Linked DNA regions of Arabidopsis thaliana. The protein of the gene in region 3 interacts with the protein of the main gene of each other region in a pairwise test. Each region holds a gene or a part of one and is shown on either strand. Other genes may lie near its edges.

Region 1 (3,401 bases), about 22 Mb from region 3:
CTTATCGGTTTGTTGTAATTTGAGATTACTTTATATTACAAAACATCATTTTATGGGATGATTGTCGTAATTTTCATTATGCTAAACGTTACTATAGCTAAACATTTTTCGTTAACATTTTTACAACAAGTATAATCGGATACGTTTAGTCTGTTAGACTTTTTAGTTTTCAGGTGATGTTTAATCGGATACTAACAAGTATAATCTAATAGACTAAACGTACGGATATTATTTTCATAACAACTTTTTTCTTTTTGGATTTTTCGTTGCTAGTTGTGAAGCTATATATTAAAAAAAAAGCCCTAAAGCTTATTGTAATTTAGGAATTCTTAAAGCTTATTCTAATCATAACAAAACGATTTTCAATATGTATAGGTATTAACGTTCAAAGTGAGGTATGTACGTAAAAAGATGAAAATGAAGCAATAGAGTACATTCATATTATATGCTCTAAAATATAGTACTTCACAAATATATGCGTTGTGTGTATACAAAGACAAAAGTCCACAGTAATGATAACACTATTTAAATAGGGTTCTTTGATGGCGTCATGGTTCTTATGCCCGAAAAATGCCCGGCCAAAACTTGTATACAACCAAACTCCAAATCAAGAACTTATTATTATATACGAAATGATAACATAATATTAAATATATGGTGGTACACAACTCAAGCTAACCGTTATGATTATTCCACAACCTTTTCACGGTCAACAACAATATATTATATATCCTAACAAACCCTTATTTCGTATCCATTTTTATTATATATAAACACTTTCCATAATTGCACCATTACTCACACATTATAGCATAATTTAGTTACTACTAATGGAAATGTCATCTTGTCTAGATTAATTCTCCTACTCCTCTTCCCCCACGGCCGAAACTTGGCGGTGGTGGCGGTGAAACCCATGACGTCGTCACCGCCTGAGAAGCTTGATCTTGCGGCGGCGGAGGAGTATATCCGGTATTATTATTGAGTAGCCGGATCTGCCGTTTCAAGAACTTGACATAGCGTATAGCTTCATCGAGCATTGAAGCCGTATCCATTTTAGTGCCACCTGGCACGAGTCTCTGAAGAATTCTGATCCTCTCACTGATTCTCTCACGGCGATGTCTAGCCGCCACACTCTGAGGGTCGTCGGAGATCCTCACGTTACGGCGTTTGGGTTTCTTGACGGTTGCTGGGTCGATGTCAACCGATTGCATGGCTGCGATCTTGTACATCATTTCCTTCATAGCACCGAGTTCCTCTAGAGGTTCTTCTTCGTCTTCGTCGTCTTCTTGATCTCCGGAGAGAAGAGTGGTGGTTGTGAGGGAAGAAGAGAGAGGAGGGAAATGAGAAGAAGAGAAAGGATTGAAGATATGGAGCTGTGTGTACTGGTCCATGGCCATACCGATTGGATCATTATTATGTTGATGATGATGATCATCATTCTTGTTGTTGTTGTTGCTGCTGTTGATGATGTTGTTCCAAGTGTAATTTTGGAAGAGAGATGGGTTCATATTATAATTATTCATAATTTTTGTTTGTTTGGTTCGTAAAAATTTTAATGCTTGAGGCGATGCTTATATGTATATATATATGTGTGTGTGTGAGCATATATATATATTAAAGGAAAAAAAGAAAGGTGATCATATGATGAGGGGTTAGGTTGGTGATGCAATTAAGGATTTTGGTTCGGAGAAAAAATAAAGAATAATTTTATTTATATGTATCTTTTCAATAAGTGGACGTCACTAGTCGTTACCAAAGAAAAAGATTAAATTGTATATAGTTGAATAAGAAGTTTTTTTATGCTCCGAAAATGTTTATAAACGTTGTAGCACTTTTGTATACATATAGTTGGCATAATCGCTTTTTTTTTTTTTTTTTTAATGAGCAGCTCCAGTTGACTAATGAGATAGTTTTGAGTTGGCTAGGGTTTCCCTCTCCCACATTGAGACTTGAATTTAGGGTATATCGAGAAAGTGGCTTTCACCAAAGTAATAAACTAATAACCACTAGCTATAAGAATGTGAATTACTTTATATGAACATGAGTTTCTCTTTGATTCACAAAAGATGTCACCACTTGTGTGCTCTTATTCTGACTTCTCAATTTACAATCCCTTTAATTATCTCCTTCTCTCTTCACAAAACCCATTCACTAAAATAGGAAATCTTGATAAATTTTCTCTCATTCTCTTGTCTCTTCACGAAATAGCACATTTTGTTGATCCTATACTCTTATCCCGATCAACGGTCGTGATTTTCTCTCTCCCCTCGATGGAGTCCAATATTGAATGTAAATTGTGTGTGAAACTCGCAATGTTATATATTATTATAAAACAAATGATCAACTTGCTTTTTTCCACAAAGCTATTCTATAACTTGCGACGTGATTAAAGGTTTATAAGGATAACAAACATCAAATCACTCGCATGGGGACACCTTAGCTTCTTCAACATTTGGGTGTTATCCATGATTGTCATTAATAAGAAAGACGTGTATCATCGTCGTGACTCGTTTATATAAGACGGTGGTGAATATATCATTTTCCATGAAGCAATTTCTGCTTTTTATTAACAAAGTTCACATCTACGTAACAACGTTCTTGTATACAAGTGTATAAAACAAACACAAATCCGTAAAATACACGAAATTTTATGAGACTTCAAAAGAGGCAAATTTATATACGTTGTTTCGATCCGTTTATACAAAAATCAGACGGTTCTGATTTAATGTGACAAGTTTCTTATGTCATATGCCTCAACACAAAAGCAATGTATAAATACACATGTATATGTACATATATGAGATATAAGCGTATATTTTGCACATATGTTATGATTTGGTCTGCATTATAATCATACAAATTGCGCATGCAGGCTGCAATCATGCATTATAGGGTTACTTCTTTGGTATTAATCCATTGTTCACTGTATATTATATTCTTATTAAATCCACCCAACTGCCAACTACATGTATGAACATCTACTTATACACACACAAGTTTTGGAAATTAATTTGATTCGATATAAGTATACACTATATAGTTTTCGCATTTATAGCGGTTTAAAATGAAAACCGCAATTAAAAGAGTAACTGTGTATTTAATATAATAGCTAGCATTCGATCATATTATTAAAGTATATAACAGTCATGAGCAAGACTTATAATATAATATAGTTTAGTTAAAAGAAGTTTTATTTTGCCATGTATTTTATATAATACAAATTCGGATGGATTGGAGCAATGAACAATTTTTTTATTGCCTGATCATAAATTTAGAGTGTTTTTTAATTAAGTCTATTAATATTTTTCATACATGTGAAAGTTAAATGATTCATTTTGGACAGCTAGTTTCTAAATTTCCACAAAAACATGTAAAATAATAGAATATATAAGACACATAAA
Region 2 (4,976 bases), on a different chromosome or scaffold from region 3:
TACTAATCCAAATGTTACACACACACACAAAAAAAAAAAAATCAATTAATCAACAGGAGTAGAAAAGAAAACCAACCTAGGAATTTGTTAAAATCACTAAAACTTGTTCCAGCTCCCCAAAGACCAAGCCTGACCATATAACCCATGTTTCGTGGTTCTGATGCCCCAGTAGCCGAGCAATAAATAACACGTGCTTGGGGGATCTTATCCTGCTTTTCCAGAATTCATTAGTTAGAGTCAACTAGATGGCACTAACCACAAATTAAGCATGTTAAACTAGAATATACACTATATTATCTGAAACCGAGAAAAAGTACAACCCAAAAAGACAAGTCGAAGTATATAATCTCTCACTCTTCAGAGCCAAGAGCAATATTAAAAGCAACACTGATAAGAACATTCAGTTTCAAGTAGCCAGACCTGAATGTCAACAACTGCCTGTCCGATGCGTGTCGGCTGACTCCCAGCTTCAGGTACCAAATTTTTCGCTTTATGGCACTATAAAAAAGGAAAACAAATTAGTACCTGCACAATGTACTAAAGATTAGAGGTTGGCCCAAAATTGATAAAACCAGTGATCAAGCAACTTACAACGACAGGGTATACTCAAATTGTTCAATTCACAAAAAAAGGGGGATGATGATTTTAACGCAAATAATTTAATATACTTCATTCATAGAACTGTTACCTCATCAAAGATCAAGAGACCATCAAATTCTGGTCCACACCATTGAACAAGCTGCTGTAAACGAGAACGGCCCTTCTCAGAGGAAGCAATGAGGCTATTGTATGTCAAGAATACCACTCCTTCTTTAATACCAACATTTTTCGAGTCAAGCTTAGAATAGGGTAGCTTGTTCAAAGGATTCACTGCACGTCAAACATATTGTTATTTAGTTGCAGAAAAAACAAACTGGACATTTGTTCACTTGAATGAACTTATCCATCGACATGGTTCCCTTGATTTGTCGTATTTTTCCATCTCCTAATATTCTATTAAAATTCCAAGCTCAAACCTATAAAGGATTAATGAGACTAAGAATCAAATATCCTATTGGACTATTCTAAAGTTACAGTCCAACTTTTATTTACCTGAAATTTTCATGAACTGCACAAACATCAGCTACCCATAACATTCTCTAGGCATGAAGACACCATAAACAAAGTTCAGGGACCCATTACCTTTATCAGTAAAGAAAATAAGTTCTCTAAAAATACATGTGTACTCTACATCGTAATATTAAAGCATGAGTCAATTTATCCATTCAGCAAAGTCAGAATCTCATTCTGATCCAGTCTACTCTATACCATCCACTTTCAAAATTTTCTATTCAACAATGAGCCAGAAAATAATTTATAGCATAAGCTATATGTAATTATGTATAACATATGAAGCATTTGTGACCCAAGAAAATAAGCGAATTACAAACTTAATTTACAGCCAAAATCAAGATAATACCTCCAACGCATGTAGCACCCACATCATCCAAGTCCCTTCTTGCATCATATTTCAAGTCTGAGCCAATAGAAATCCACCTATGTAAATCATAAAGGAAAAGGAGCAAATAGTATTAGAACTCATCCTACTTTAAGTTATCTAAGAAACCAAAAAAGGACACCGTAGACACAATTATGCAAATGTAGTATAATCATAAGTCAGATTGAATTGAGCTAACAATATCTTATCAAGGATGTAAATGGCGCAGAAGTATCTTTCTACAAGACTTACAAAGCTTTCCTCCTTCCATGTTTCCAATTTTCCCAAATCAACCCGGCAATTGTTCGCCCTTTGCCCACACCAGCACCATCTCCAACAAAAAAGCCTGCTCTGGTACCATCAGCAAGGTGCTGGAGATGCCTCTGTAATAAAAAAAAAACCATTGTCATACAGGTAGAAGATACGTTTAAATGCCATTAACCAAACTTTTTGCCATTTAAAAGCAACCTGGCAAGCGTAAACTAATGTCTCAATCTGCAAACACGATAAAGCCTTTGACCTTTCAAGCTCTTCCTTGATTTTGAGATCATAAGTAGGCTCTGGGGGTTGCACTGCAGATAGAGATGATGTTTCCACAATTGGATCAGGATGAGGAGGTCCGATCGAAAGTTTTGGGGGACGCTTCACAAAGAAACAAATTAGTATCATCAAAAACATTGAACAGACAGAAAAAGATGATCTCAAGATGAGGCACTCACATAATCCATAAACGTTTCTCCAGCCGTTCCACCTTCATCTTCTTCTCTCTCCACTTCAATAGCTTCCTCATTGACTTCTTCGGGAGGAGGCGGAGGCGGGACTGTGGGAGCAGCAGGAGTAGGAGGATTAGAATGAGATTGAGAAGCAGTTAAAGACCGATTAAGCTTGGAGACATCAACAGCGAGCTCGACATGGCACTGAGGACACGAGAACCGAGTGAGTCCATGAGGCACATTGAGGATAGCCTGACAGTTAGCGCAAGGCAATTGCATCTTCGTCGGATCGATTCCATGTGCCGGAACCGGAGGCCTAGGTAGATTAAGAGGCTTAAGCTGCTGTTGAATCGGTGGCGGAAGCGTCTGAATTGGCTGTGGTGGTTGTTGTGGAGACTGCGGAAACTGCGGCCGTGCCCTAGAAAGAAGCTCCGGCGGCAACATTTGGGGAAGTTGACAAGTCGGACACGAGAACTCCACAACGCCGGTTTTCACCCTCAGAATCACGCGACAGCCTGCGCACCTAACCTGTACATCGCCTCTTATTACACCTCCGGCGGCGGAATGCGGCTGAGCTGGGAGCGGCGGAGGCGGTTGAACAGGCGACTGCGTCATGAGCCGCGGCGATTGATCTTAAGAGAGATCCGTGAGAGGCCTTAGGATCTTGTGGCGTTGAAGGAGATAATTGAGAGAGGAAGACAAAAAAAGTATAAATCCAGTGTAAGTAATGAATTTCGTCAGAGCGCGAAAGGTTCTTCTTCGACTCCCTTCTCGTTTTTTTTGGTTTCAGATTTTCTTCCCTTTTTCTAATATTATTTTGGGATTGTTTGGTTCATCTAAAACTAATTATAATTACCCAAGAGGAGTCGAAGTAGGAAGATACAAAACCACTTCCGTACCGGTTGGGGTAATGGTAAGTGATGGGTTGATGGATCACGTGTCATCACGTGACTTGCCAGCTCACCGTTCGTTAGTTTGTGTGGGCTTAAAATAATAAATCCACATAAGTTTTGGGTTTGTGAACTTTGAGACCACTTAGTTGGGCCTAAAAGGGTTACAAAAGGGCTGATAGATGGGCCTATTTGTAAATTAAACCTTTTAAACATATCTACCAAGAAGTGTACAAATTTCTGTCTGGTTTGTTCTTCCCATTCAATTACCAAACAGCCAACTACCAACAACCCCAATGAATATACTTTCTTGGGATTGGAACGATTCATTTTCACACAACGTGTGAAAATTAGAACAGAAACACAATTATCTCTAACAAAAATCAAACAGCCAAACGTTTAACCATCGGCATCAATATCCAAACGAGACAAATTTGAATTATTTTGTTATTCAAGAAATCCATGTGTTATAGGTGTAAACTGTAAAATGAGATTGTTTCATCAGAGTGGTGCTTTGATGGCTCATTCTTAGAAACACTTTTCAACTAACCAAAAAAAAAGATATGTGGTAAGTCTTAATGTAATCAAGTGATAAATACTAAATTAAATCTACATTAATTTCACATGTGTTTTCAAATTCTTCACCATTTCATGCAATGACATTATTAACGGCGACTTTACTCCGCCGGTCTTTGCACTCTTCCTCGTCCATAGTGTCACATAGATCACTCCCTCTAGTCTCTGGCAATCCAACTGCAAACAATCCCAACAAACCTATAGCAAGACCAAACAATCCGAACGACCAGAACGCGTTTTTCCGACCAGCTGCTACCATAATAGGGCTGAAAACTCCACCAAGCACCAAAGCCTGTCTAGCCATTGCGATAGCCGAGTTTCTCACACATGTCGGAAACAGCTCGATCGTGTATATCATCTCCATGTTAAAAGCCGAACACGCGCTAAAGTAAGAGATTAGCTCTAACGCCAACTGTAACGCCCCGTGGTTTCCAATTCTCATATTATGTAACGCAAATATGAGAACGCTAGAGACTCCACCTAAAGCCGTAAATCCGATAAGCGCGTTTCTCCTACTGAGTTTATCGACTAGGAAAAGCGTGATGAGGTTCGCTGGTAAATCCATCAACGCATTAAACGCTGCACTTAAATAGATGTTGAAATCAAGATTCGATAACGCTAAAGGCATCCCGTAATAGACCAAACCAATCCCGAACGCAATGGCCATTACCGCGGATAATCTCTTAAGCGCCCATCTTTTCTCTACCAACACCTTCATGGTCGTGAAGATGTTAACATTAGTACTAGGCTTCTCTTCATCTTCTTCAAAAGGTAAGCTCGAAAAACTCATAGATATTGCACCACCACTGCTTACATCAGTAGACGGAATCGAAGCAACCCTTTTGAGAATCGAAATAGCTTCTTCTCTACGGCCTCTAACGAAAAGCCACCTTGGAGACTCACAAACGAAAAACCGAACAAGAACGCAGTATATTATCGTTGGAATCGAAGTCCATGCGTAGAGAATCCTCCAAGAACTTCCTCTGTTCATGTAAGCCATCAAAGGAAGAGACAAAAAGCCAAGCATGAATCCGAAGAAACTCATTATCCCTACTCGTCCTCGCCATTTCTTCCCAACTAATTCCGTCGAAAGAACGAGCGCACATGTCCCTATCGTCGCTCGACCAAATCCATTAACGAATCGAAGAACAGCGTAAACCCAAATGTTTGGTGAGAAAACCGTTAGCATCGTTGATATCGCCATAACGAGACAGGACAGAAACAACATGTTTTTACGACCCAAGGAAGAATCAGCAAGTGTTGAGAGAACCAAACCTCCGATTAAACATCCGACGAAGAAAGAACTCTCCGGTAAGCCCT
Region 3 (4,346 bases):
ACATGATGATTAAGTTAAATTATGTGTATATATATAAAAGGCAGGAACAATTTAATTGTATTCACATAATTCGTTGCCAAATCCTGTCATACATTCCCAAAATTCCCTAAAATATGATCTTGTTAATAGTTTCTAGCTTATTCCTTAAGCTTGAATTTACGTTAAATCAATTTTGAAAGAAATTAAGGTTTTGGCTTTGACAGACGTTACCAACCAAGCAATGACTAAAGGCGGCTTTGGTAGTGGGCTGCTTTAGACGACGGGTAGGTTTGGCAAGCTTCTTTGTTGGGACAAAAAAATTGTTGTGATAAATTTCACCACAAGTTTTATGAACATACATCATAATTAATATTGTTGCAGCATATATTAGTTAGACCAATATACCACTGACACCATCTATATAAAAGTTAGTACATGTCTATCACAGTACCAAAAAAATGAAATGTACAAGTCTATCTCGCTCTAAGAATAATTTGTGTTTAAAATATACCACCATATCCGGAAAGATCCTTGGAAATGCCTTTAATGAAGGCTTCCAATCGCCTTCTTAAAATAATCTGTGACATTGTGTTGTGATCATCTTAAAATGCCTTAAAATTGTGTTGGATAATCTACGGAACCGATGTGGAAAAAGAAATCCATGGAACCTTTGATTTGAGATGAACAGTTACCACAATTTATATGATCATTAAAATTATACGATATATAAGTGGTTCATATTTATTTAATATTTTCCCCATATTTAAGTGAGGACCAAAAAACTGATACAAAACTTTTTCTTGCAAAATTACAAATGTAACTTTGTTACAGTCAATTTCATCTCAAGATTACATAATCAAAACCAGAGTTCTTAATTTGAAACCGTACAGTACTATATATGCAGTAACTCAATATTCTTCGTAAACAACCAGTGTGGGTTAAAGGCGCGGTCAATTACAGAAGACTTTATATATAGTAGTGATCAAGTTGGATACAAAGAGGAAAGAAAATGGTTTGTGATTGTGGGCAAAAATCTCAGTGGCAAAGACACTTAGAAGAGAAGTGGACCACAAATCTCTTTGTGAGTATTTAGGCATTAGATGCTTTAAAGAAAAACCTATACTCGTTGGTCCATTCTCTATCTCAGAGACAGACCCTTACCTCCTCTAGCTGTCAATCTCTATTATATTTACTTATATATGTTGATATTAAAACAAAAAATTTATATATATGGATATTTTCTATATATGCTTAAAAATATAACCCACAAGTAGTTAATTAGAAATAAAAGCAGTATTCCCAACAGTTTGATTTTAACAAGTCTACATTTCATTATCACTAAATTTAGGGTTTCAACAAGTTGCTTCGTTAATAATGAAATTCAACAATTTATCTACAAATAAAACTTTTCATTTTCCAAAACGACAGAAACTCAAATGAAATGAGCGACGACTGTAAATAAATTGGTCTTTCCATTTGTTTATATTATGAATTTTTTTGAATTTACTAAAATTTGGTTTCATAAAACTTTCAAACTCGATCTTGTATATATATATGTTTCACAGTTCAAAGTTCAAACCACTTTTACCATTATTAATTTACTATACATGTACTATATTTTTTTTTCACTTTAAAAGCTCTTGTTACCATTTATAACTATTAATTTGTCAACCGTACACTTTCTCTTAAATGACCTTAACCGTATGTTTATATTTTTGTTTAAGATAAGAAGACAACATAGATCACAAACTTGGGTAAAAATTAAATCATATAAAATTCAAAATGAATGTCTAACACCAAGGAAAGGGAACCAAAACTTGAATACTAAAATATATTAAAATTTATTGTAAAGGTTTTTTTTTTGTCAACTATTGTAAAGTTTTATATATATAAGATTTATGTGACTGTGAGTGTAACGAAACATGCACATTCCCATCACAGTATCAATACACTACATAAATTGCTCCTCTTTTGTCCTTCTGCATAAATTCCTTTCATACCGAAAAAAAAAAGCCCTAGGGATCGGAATATAATACTTAAAAATATATCTAATTCATTTATTATTTAACTTCCCCAATCATTATAATATACATATGTAATTCTAGTTTCCAAAAAAAGAAATACTACACATTCCTCTGCCTCCTTATCTCTTTCTTATTCTTCTTCTTCCTCCTTCTTCTACTTCTCTATCAAGCTGGATCTTGAAATAGGACTCAAGCTTACCAGTATTCAATCAACGTAAGAACATATAACCTTCAACATGTTTGAATTTCAAATTCTTATGAGCTTTCTTTTCTTTGATGCAAACTCAAGAAAGAGATATTATTGCTTTGTTTTCATGTGAATCTCGCTCCAAAAACATATTTAAAATCAACAATTTCATTCAATTGAAAGCTAACAACAACTAATTCTTGTCTTCTTGATTTATTTTCTATTAAATTGGTCAATTTATTCCCTTCTTGTTTCAGATCTGTTCTTTACACCAAATTGAGTACTGAAGATCTTGTTGAGTGAATTAAAGAGATGAGATCAGGAGAATGTGATGAAGAGGAGATTCAAGCAAAGCAAGAAAGAGATCAAAATCAAAATCATCAAGTAAACTTAAACCACATGTTGCAACAACAACAGCCGAGTTCGGTATCATCTTCAAGGCAATGGACTTCAGCTTTTAGGAATCCAAGAATCGTTCGAGTCTCAAGAACATTCGGTGGCAAAGACAGACACAGCAAAGTATGTACAGTCCGTGGTCTTCGAGACCGGAGGATAAGGTTGTCCGTACCTACAGCTATTCAACTCTACGACCTTCAAGATCGATTAGGGCTGAGTCAGCCAAGCAAAGTCATTGATTGGTTACTCGAAGCAGCAAAAGATGACGTAGACAAGCTACCTCCTCTACAATTCCCACATGGATTTAACCAGATGTATCCAAATCTCATCTTCGGAAACTCCGGGTTTGGAGAATCTCCATCTTCAACTACATCAACAACGTTTCCAGGAACCAATCTCGGGTTCTTGGAAAATTGGGATCTTGGTGGTTCTTCAAGAACAAGAGCAAGATTAACCGATACAACTACGACCCAAAGAGAAAGTTTTGATCTTGATAAAGGAAAATGGATCAAAAACGACGAGAATAGTAATCAAGATCATCAAGGGTTTAACACCAATCATCAACAACAATTTCCTCTGACCAATCCGTACAACAACACTTCAGCTTATTACAACCTTGGACATCTTCAACAATCGTTAGACCAATCTGGTAATAACGTTACTGTCGCAATATCTAATGTTGCTGCTAATAATAACAATAATCTCAATTTGCATCCTCCTTCCTCGTCTGCCGGAGATGGATCTCAGCTTTTTTTCGGTCCTACTCCTCCGGCAATGAGCTCTCTATTCCCGACATACCCTTCGTTTCTTGGAGCTTCTCATCATCATCATGTCGTCGATGGAGCCGGTCATCTTCAGCTCTTTAGCTCGAATTCAAATACCGCATCGCAGCAACACATGATGCCGGGTAATACGAGTTTGATTAGACCATTTCATCATTTGATGAGCTCGAATCATGATACGGATCATCATAGTAGCGATAATGAATCAGATTCTTGAATGATTTTATATATCTACACTATACATTGAAAATGTTATATGTATACGTATTCTTCTATATTTTGATATATATGCGTATTGTTGGATTGGTTTATGTATCTTCTTCGTGTATGTATACACTTTTTAATAGTCTCGGATTTAGATTCGAACAAAGACATTCATAATGCGAGGATGGTTGTTATTTCTATATATGTTTTAGTTTTGAAGGTAGTTTTTGCTTCCTTAAGAAATTATATGAATTCTACTTGAATGTCTTTCTCTATTCATTTATGAATATATACACTCGAATAAATGAATTGTACAATATAGGTATCTCATAACTAGCTAGCACTTTCATCCTAATCCATAATCTAGATTAGTTAATCATATTTCATATGTTAGGATTTAGGTTTTACATATATGGAATTTTTTATTGTTATCACGAATGTGAGAAAGTGAATAAAAACGCAAAGAACAATAATACTTTTCAAAATAGGATGGAGGAAAAACAGATTCAGAAAAAGAAAAAGAAAAAAAGAGTATTAACATAACCCTAATTCAACTTTAAACCAAATAGGTCCATCGAAACCCATATGCTATTCTACCATCGTATGACCAGATTCAAAGCATTTCACCAATCACCATTATATATATATATATAGGCATCACAATGTTGCTAAGAAAAAACATTATGTAATTTTTTTAATCAAAATATGATATGATCTATCTTAATCATCATTATGCAATGATTACATAGTCAGGACTTGAATTGGATATAATCG
Region 4 (3,731 bases), on a different chromosome or scaffold from region 3:
CATCTGGTTACTTCATTTATATAAAAAAAAAACGAAATCTCAACACATAGTAATGTATAATTACTTCAGTGGGGCTTCTCTTAAGACTTGTATTGAGAATATCCATATAAAACAAACTTTGTATTAAGATAATTAAAATTTTCTAATAGTAGGTATTGGGCTGAAGCCAAGATTAACATGGAGGCAGCTTTAAAATGTTTCCTTATATGATGCAGCCATCATTTCTACTCTACTCCGTAGCTCCAAACCCTTCTCGTAATTCACGTCTCTCATGCTATTCTTTTTGCTTTCGTCCTCCTCTCATGTGAAGCAATAACTATCTCTCGATTTTTTTTTTCAAATACCGAAAGCTAACTTTTTCAAATAAATGTCAAATATATTAATTTTCGTTTTGTATTTAGTATTTTATTTGTCAGCTAAGTATAGTGAGTTTTTAAGCTTACTCGTCGTATTTATCATATATTCATATACATATCACATTAGTCAAAGTAAATAAAAATTTGTTTTTGAAGAAAAAAAAAATACATATAACTGCGAGTCTGCGACTGTAACTGGACTTGCTTATTTTAGTTGATATGAGCTGAGTAAAATCACGTTGTCCCAGACCTTGCTCGCTACAATCGGCGAATGGTCTAACGTCCCGACACCTGTCCTCGATCCGCGGGTACTATATTCTTTGCAATGTGATGCACGCGCTGTTACTATTGGACAGTGTTTCTCACCTCACGACTGAGCCTATGCGAGTAGCGACAATCTCCGATTTGCTGTCTCCATGGTAGGGATTATCACAATCTCTGATTTTTTTTATCAGGAACAAGTAAATAAATAGCTTTGAGTTTTTGTTTTTTTTCTACATTCTTCGCCCAAAAGATGTAAGAAAATAAAGGATTTGAAACCTTGTTCTGTTGTTACTCCTTTAAATTCTTAAAAACTATAAATCATTATATCTTTGATCTGTTTCACAAACTAATCATATTCGTTGCAAAGTGAGAATTCGTCCCACTTTACTCTTTACACCGATACTAGTATTATAGATGTACAGCATAGTATTCCATATCTAGTTATTTAGTCAAAACTCTATATATTAAGAGGTAGGTTAATTAATTAAGGAGTAATTGAAGATTATAGAAAGAATAAAAAATACCATTTAATGGACAGAACCAAAGATAACTAACTATCATACTATAATGTTGAATTTCTTCCACGATCCAATGCATGGATAACAACATCAATCAAATCATACATTCATGCTATATAACATAGTTTTCAGTTACAAACTCTCTTTTTTATTTATTTCAGTTGTTCCTTTTCATGACCATATTAACATCAAATAATGCATTTTTTTCAACGTCTCTTGACTTACACCCACTAATATTGACAAATTGAACATCTATACGACTATACACACATAAGTTAAAAATGCATGCAAGTGCTAAGGGAATTTATAACATCTAAGGTTAATAAGACTAAGAAAGTATAAAATAAGAATACGTATTATGAATTTATGATATACTTTACTAATCTTTTTGAAAAATACTTTAATTTAATCTACTATAGGGGGTAAAAAGTAAAAAAGAAATAAAGATACGTTTATCCGCATATAGTACCTGGAAATAACAGAAAATAAAAACACAGGTAAGTACTTTGCCTGAGCTAGTATATGAACACTAAAGAGATACACACACACAAAAAGAGAGCAGAAACAAAACACACACACTTAAAGCTTTCGTCTTTACCTCTTCCCTTCTCTCTCTCTATCTAAAAAGAGTTCCGAGAAGAAGATCATCATCAATGGCGACTTCTCTCTTCTTCATGTCAACAGATCAAAACTCCGTCGGAAACCCAAACGATCTTCTGAGAAACACCCGTCTTGTCGTCAACAGCTCCGGCGAGATCCGGACAGAGACACTGAAGAGTCGTGGTCGGAAACCAGGATCGAAGACAGGTCAGCAAAAACAGAAGAAACCAACGTTGAGAGGAATGGGTGTAGCAAAGCTCGAGCGTCAGAGAATCGAAGAAGAAAAGAAGCAACTCGCCGCCGCCACAGTCGGAGACACGTCATCAGTAGCATCGATCTCTAACAACGCTACCCGTTTACCCGTACCGGTAGACCCGGGTGTTGTGCTACAAGGCTTCCCAAGCTCACTCGGGAGCAACAGGATCTATTGTGGTGGAGTCGGGTCGGGTCAGGTTATGATCGACCCGGTTATTTCTCCATGGGGTTTTGTTGAGACCTCCTCCACTACTCATGAGCTCTCTTCAATCTCAAATCCTCAAATGTTTAACGCTTCTTCCAATAATCGCTGTGACACTTGCTTCAAGGTTTGTTTGTTTTTTAATCGTTTTCATCAACATGATTGATATATATATAGTTTTTGCACTTGAAAAAGTTTTGATTTTTATTTATGTAAAAAACTGCAGAAGAAACGTTTGGATGGTGATCAGAATAATGTAGTTCGATCCAACGGTGGTGGATTTTCGAAATACACAATGATTCCTCCTCCGATGAACGGCTACGATCAGTATCTTCTTCAATCAGATCATCATCAGAGGAGCCAAGGTTTCCTTTATGATCATAGAATCGCTAGAGCAGCTTCAGTTTCTGCTTCTAGTACTACTATTAATCCTTATTTCAACGAGGCAACAAATCATACGGTACTAAGTATAGTCCATTTATTAATACTCATATATAGGTATATATGTATATAACTGTTGATCTTATTTGATTTAACTGGTGGGTTTAGGGACCAATGGAGGAATTTGGGAGCTACATGGAAGGAAACCCTAGAAATGGATCAGGAGGTGTGAAGGAGTACGAGTTTTTTCCGGGGAAATATGGTGAAAGAGTTTCAGTGGTGGCTAAAACGTCGTCACTCGTAGGTGATTGCAGTCCTAATACCATTGATTTGTCCTTGAAGCTTTAAATGTTTTATCTTTCTATATTGATTTAAACAAAATCGTCTCTTTAAAGAAAAAACATTTTAAGTAGATGAAAGTAAGAAACAGAAGAAAAAAAAGAGAGAGCCTTTTTTGGTGTATGCATCTGAGAGCTGAGTCGAAAGAAAGATTCAGCTTTTGGATTACCCTTTTGGTTGTTTATTATGAGATTCTAACCTAAACACTCAGACATATATGTTCTGTTCTCTTCCTTAATTGTTGTCATGAAACTTCTCTCTCCCTCTCTCTCTCTAAAGTTGTGTCAGATCTTGGGGCTTGTATCCATTTTGTGTTTCTTTAGTTAGGCAATGATCCTGTCATGATTCATGTTATCACCTAATTAATCCTCGGTTTTCGAAACGGTGTCATGCATATCTGATTAATCTTGTTATCTGGTGTGAGATAAATGTATCAAATTGCTCTTGTTTATAGCTTTTCCAATTAATGTCATTGCATAGCATATGGGATGTACAGCTTCGTTTTCGATTTATAAAATTTATACATGTGTTTGGTACGTACTGTTTTGTTTTGGATCAGAATTATAAATTTAGTACAGTATAAACTACTTTAAAAATTGGCCAATGAGAATTTTGAGTTTATCTTCTTTTTATAAGTTGATTGATTTTGCTTTGTTTATTTATAGAAAATATGAAATTTTATCAATTATTTTTGGGATGCTTTTTTATTGATTTTAGTTCGGCTAAAATTAGTTAGATGTTTAAATTTATTAAAACAGATATGCAAAAATTAACTCGATGGTTTTTTTTTTTTTTTTTAGGGGGATAAAAATCGAA

What was found.
Region 1: the proteins of TCP5 (region 3) and HEC3 interact in binary tests that used the Arabidopsis thaliana proteins (3 or more experiments, as listed by UniProt).
Region 2: the proteins of TCP5 (region 3) and EMB1135 interact in binary tests that used the Arabidopsis thaliana proteins (3 or more experiments, as listed by UniProt).
Region 4: the proteins of TCP5 (region 3) and SPL interact in a two-hybrid assay, tested with the Arabidopsis thaliana proteins (3 studies listed by BioGRID, with this or other methods).

The regions. Positions count from the first base shown.
Region 1 is NC_003076.8:3,025,553-3,028,953, forward strand, and holds HEC3 (basic helix-loop-helix (bHLH) DNA-binding superfamily protein), read right to left. Parts: upstream 1,563-3,401; 5' UTR 1,524-1,562; coding exon 849-1,523; 3' UTR 557-848; downstream 1-556. UniProt on the Arabidopsis thaliana protein: Required for the female reproductive tract development and fertility.
Region 2 is NC_003070.9:29,850,411-29,855,386, forward strand, and holds the start of EMB1135 (RING/FYVE/PHD zinc finger superfamily protein), read right to left. Parts: upstream 3,057-4,976; 5' UTR 2,806-3,056; coding exon 2,197-2,805; intron 2,120-2,196; coding exon 1,946-2,119; intron 1,861-1,945; coding exon 1,730-1,860; intron 1,537-1,729; coding exon 1,460-1,536; intron 871-1,459; coding exon 689-870; intron 499-688; coding exon 421-498; intron 210-420; coding exon 77-209; intron 1-76. Other genes in the region: OCT2 (organic cation/carnitine transporter 2), read right to left, coding at 3,730-4,976. UniProt on the Arabidopsis thaliana protein: Required for normal embryo development. Necessary to acquire heat stress (HS) memory, by modulating nucleosome occupancy and regulating heat-induced gene expression.
Region 3 is NC_003076.8:24,534,809-24,539,154, reverse strand, and holds TCP5 (TEOSINTE BRANCHED 1, cycloidea and PCF transcription factor 5), read left to right. Parts: upstream 1-1,910; 5' UTR 1,911-2,217; intron 2,218-2,447; 5' UTR 2,448-2,502; coding exon 2,503-3,585; 3' UTR 3,586-3,818; downstream 3,819-4,346.
Region 4 is NC_003075.7:13,681,520-13,685,250, reverse strand, and holds SPL (sporocyteless (SPL)), read left to right. Parts: upstream 1-1,656; 5' UTR 1,657-1,791; coding exon 1,792-2,322; intron 2,323-2,421; coding exon 2,422-2,655; intron 2,656-2,744; coding exon 2,745-2,924; 3' UTR 2,925-3,173; downstream 3,174-3,731. UniProt on the Arabidopsis thaliana protein: Transcriptional regulator of sporocyte development. Acts as an adapter-like transcriptional repressor recruiting TPL/TPR corepressors to inhibit TCP transcription factors. Required for nucellus and embryo sac development.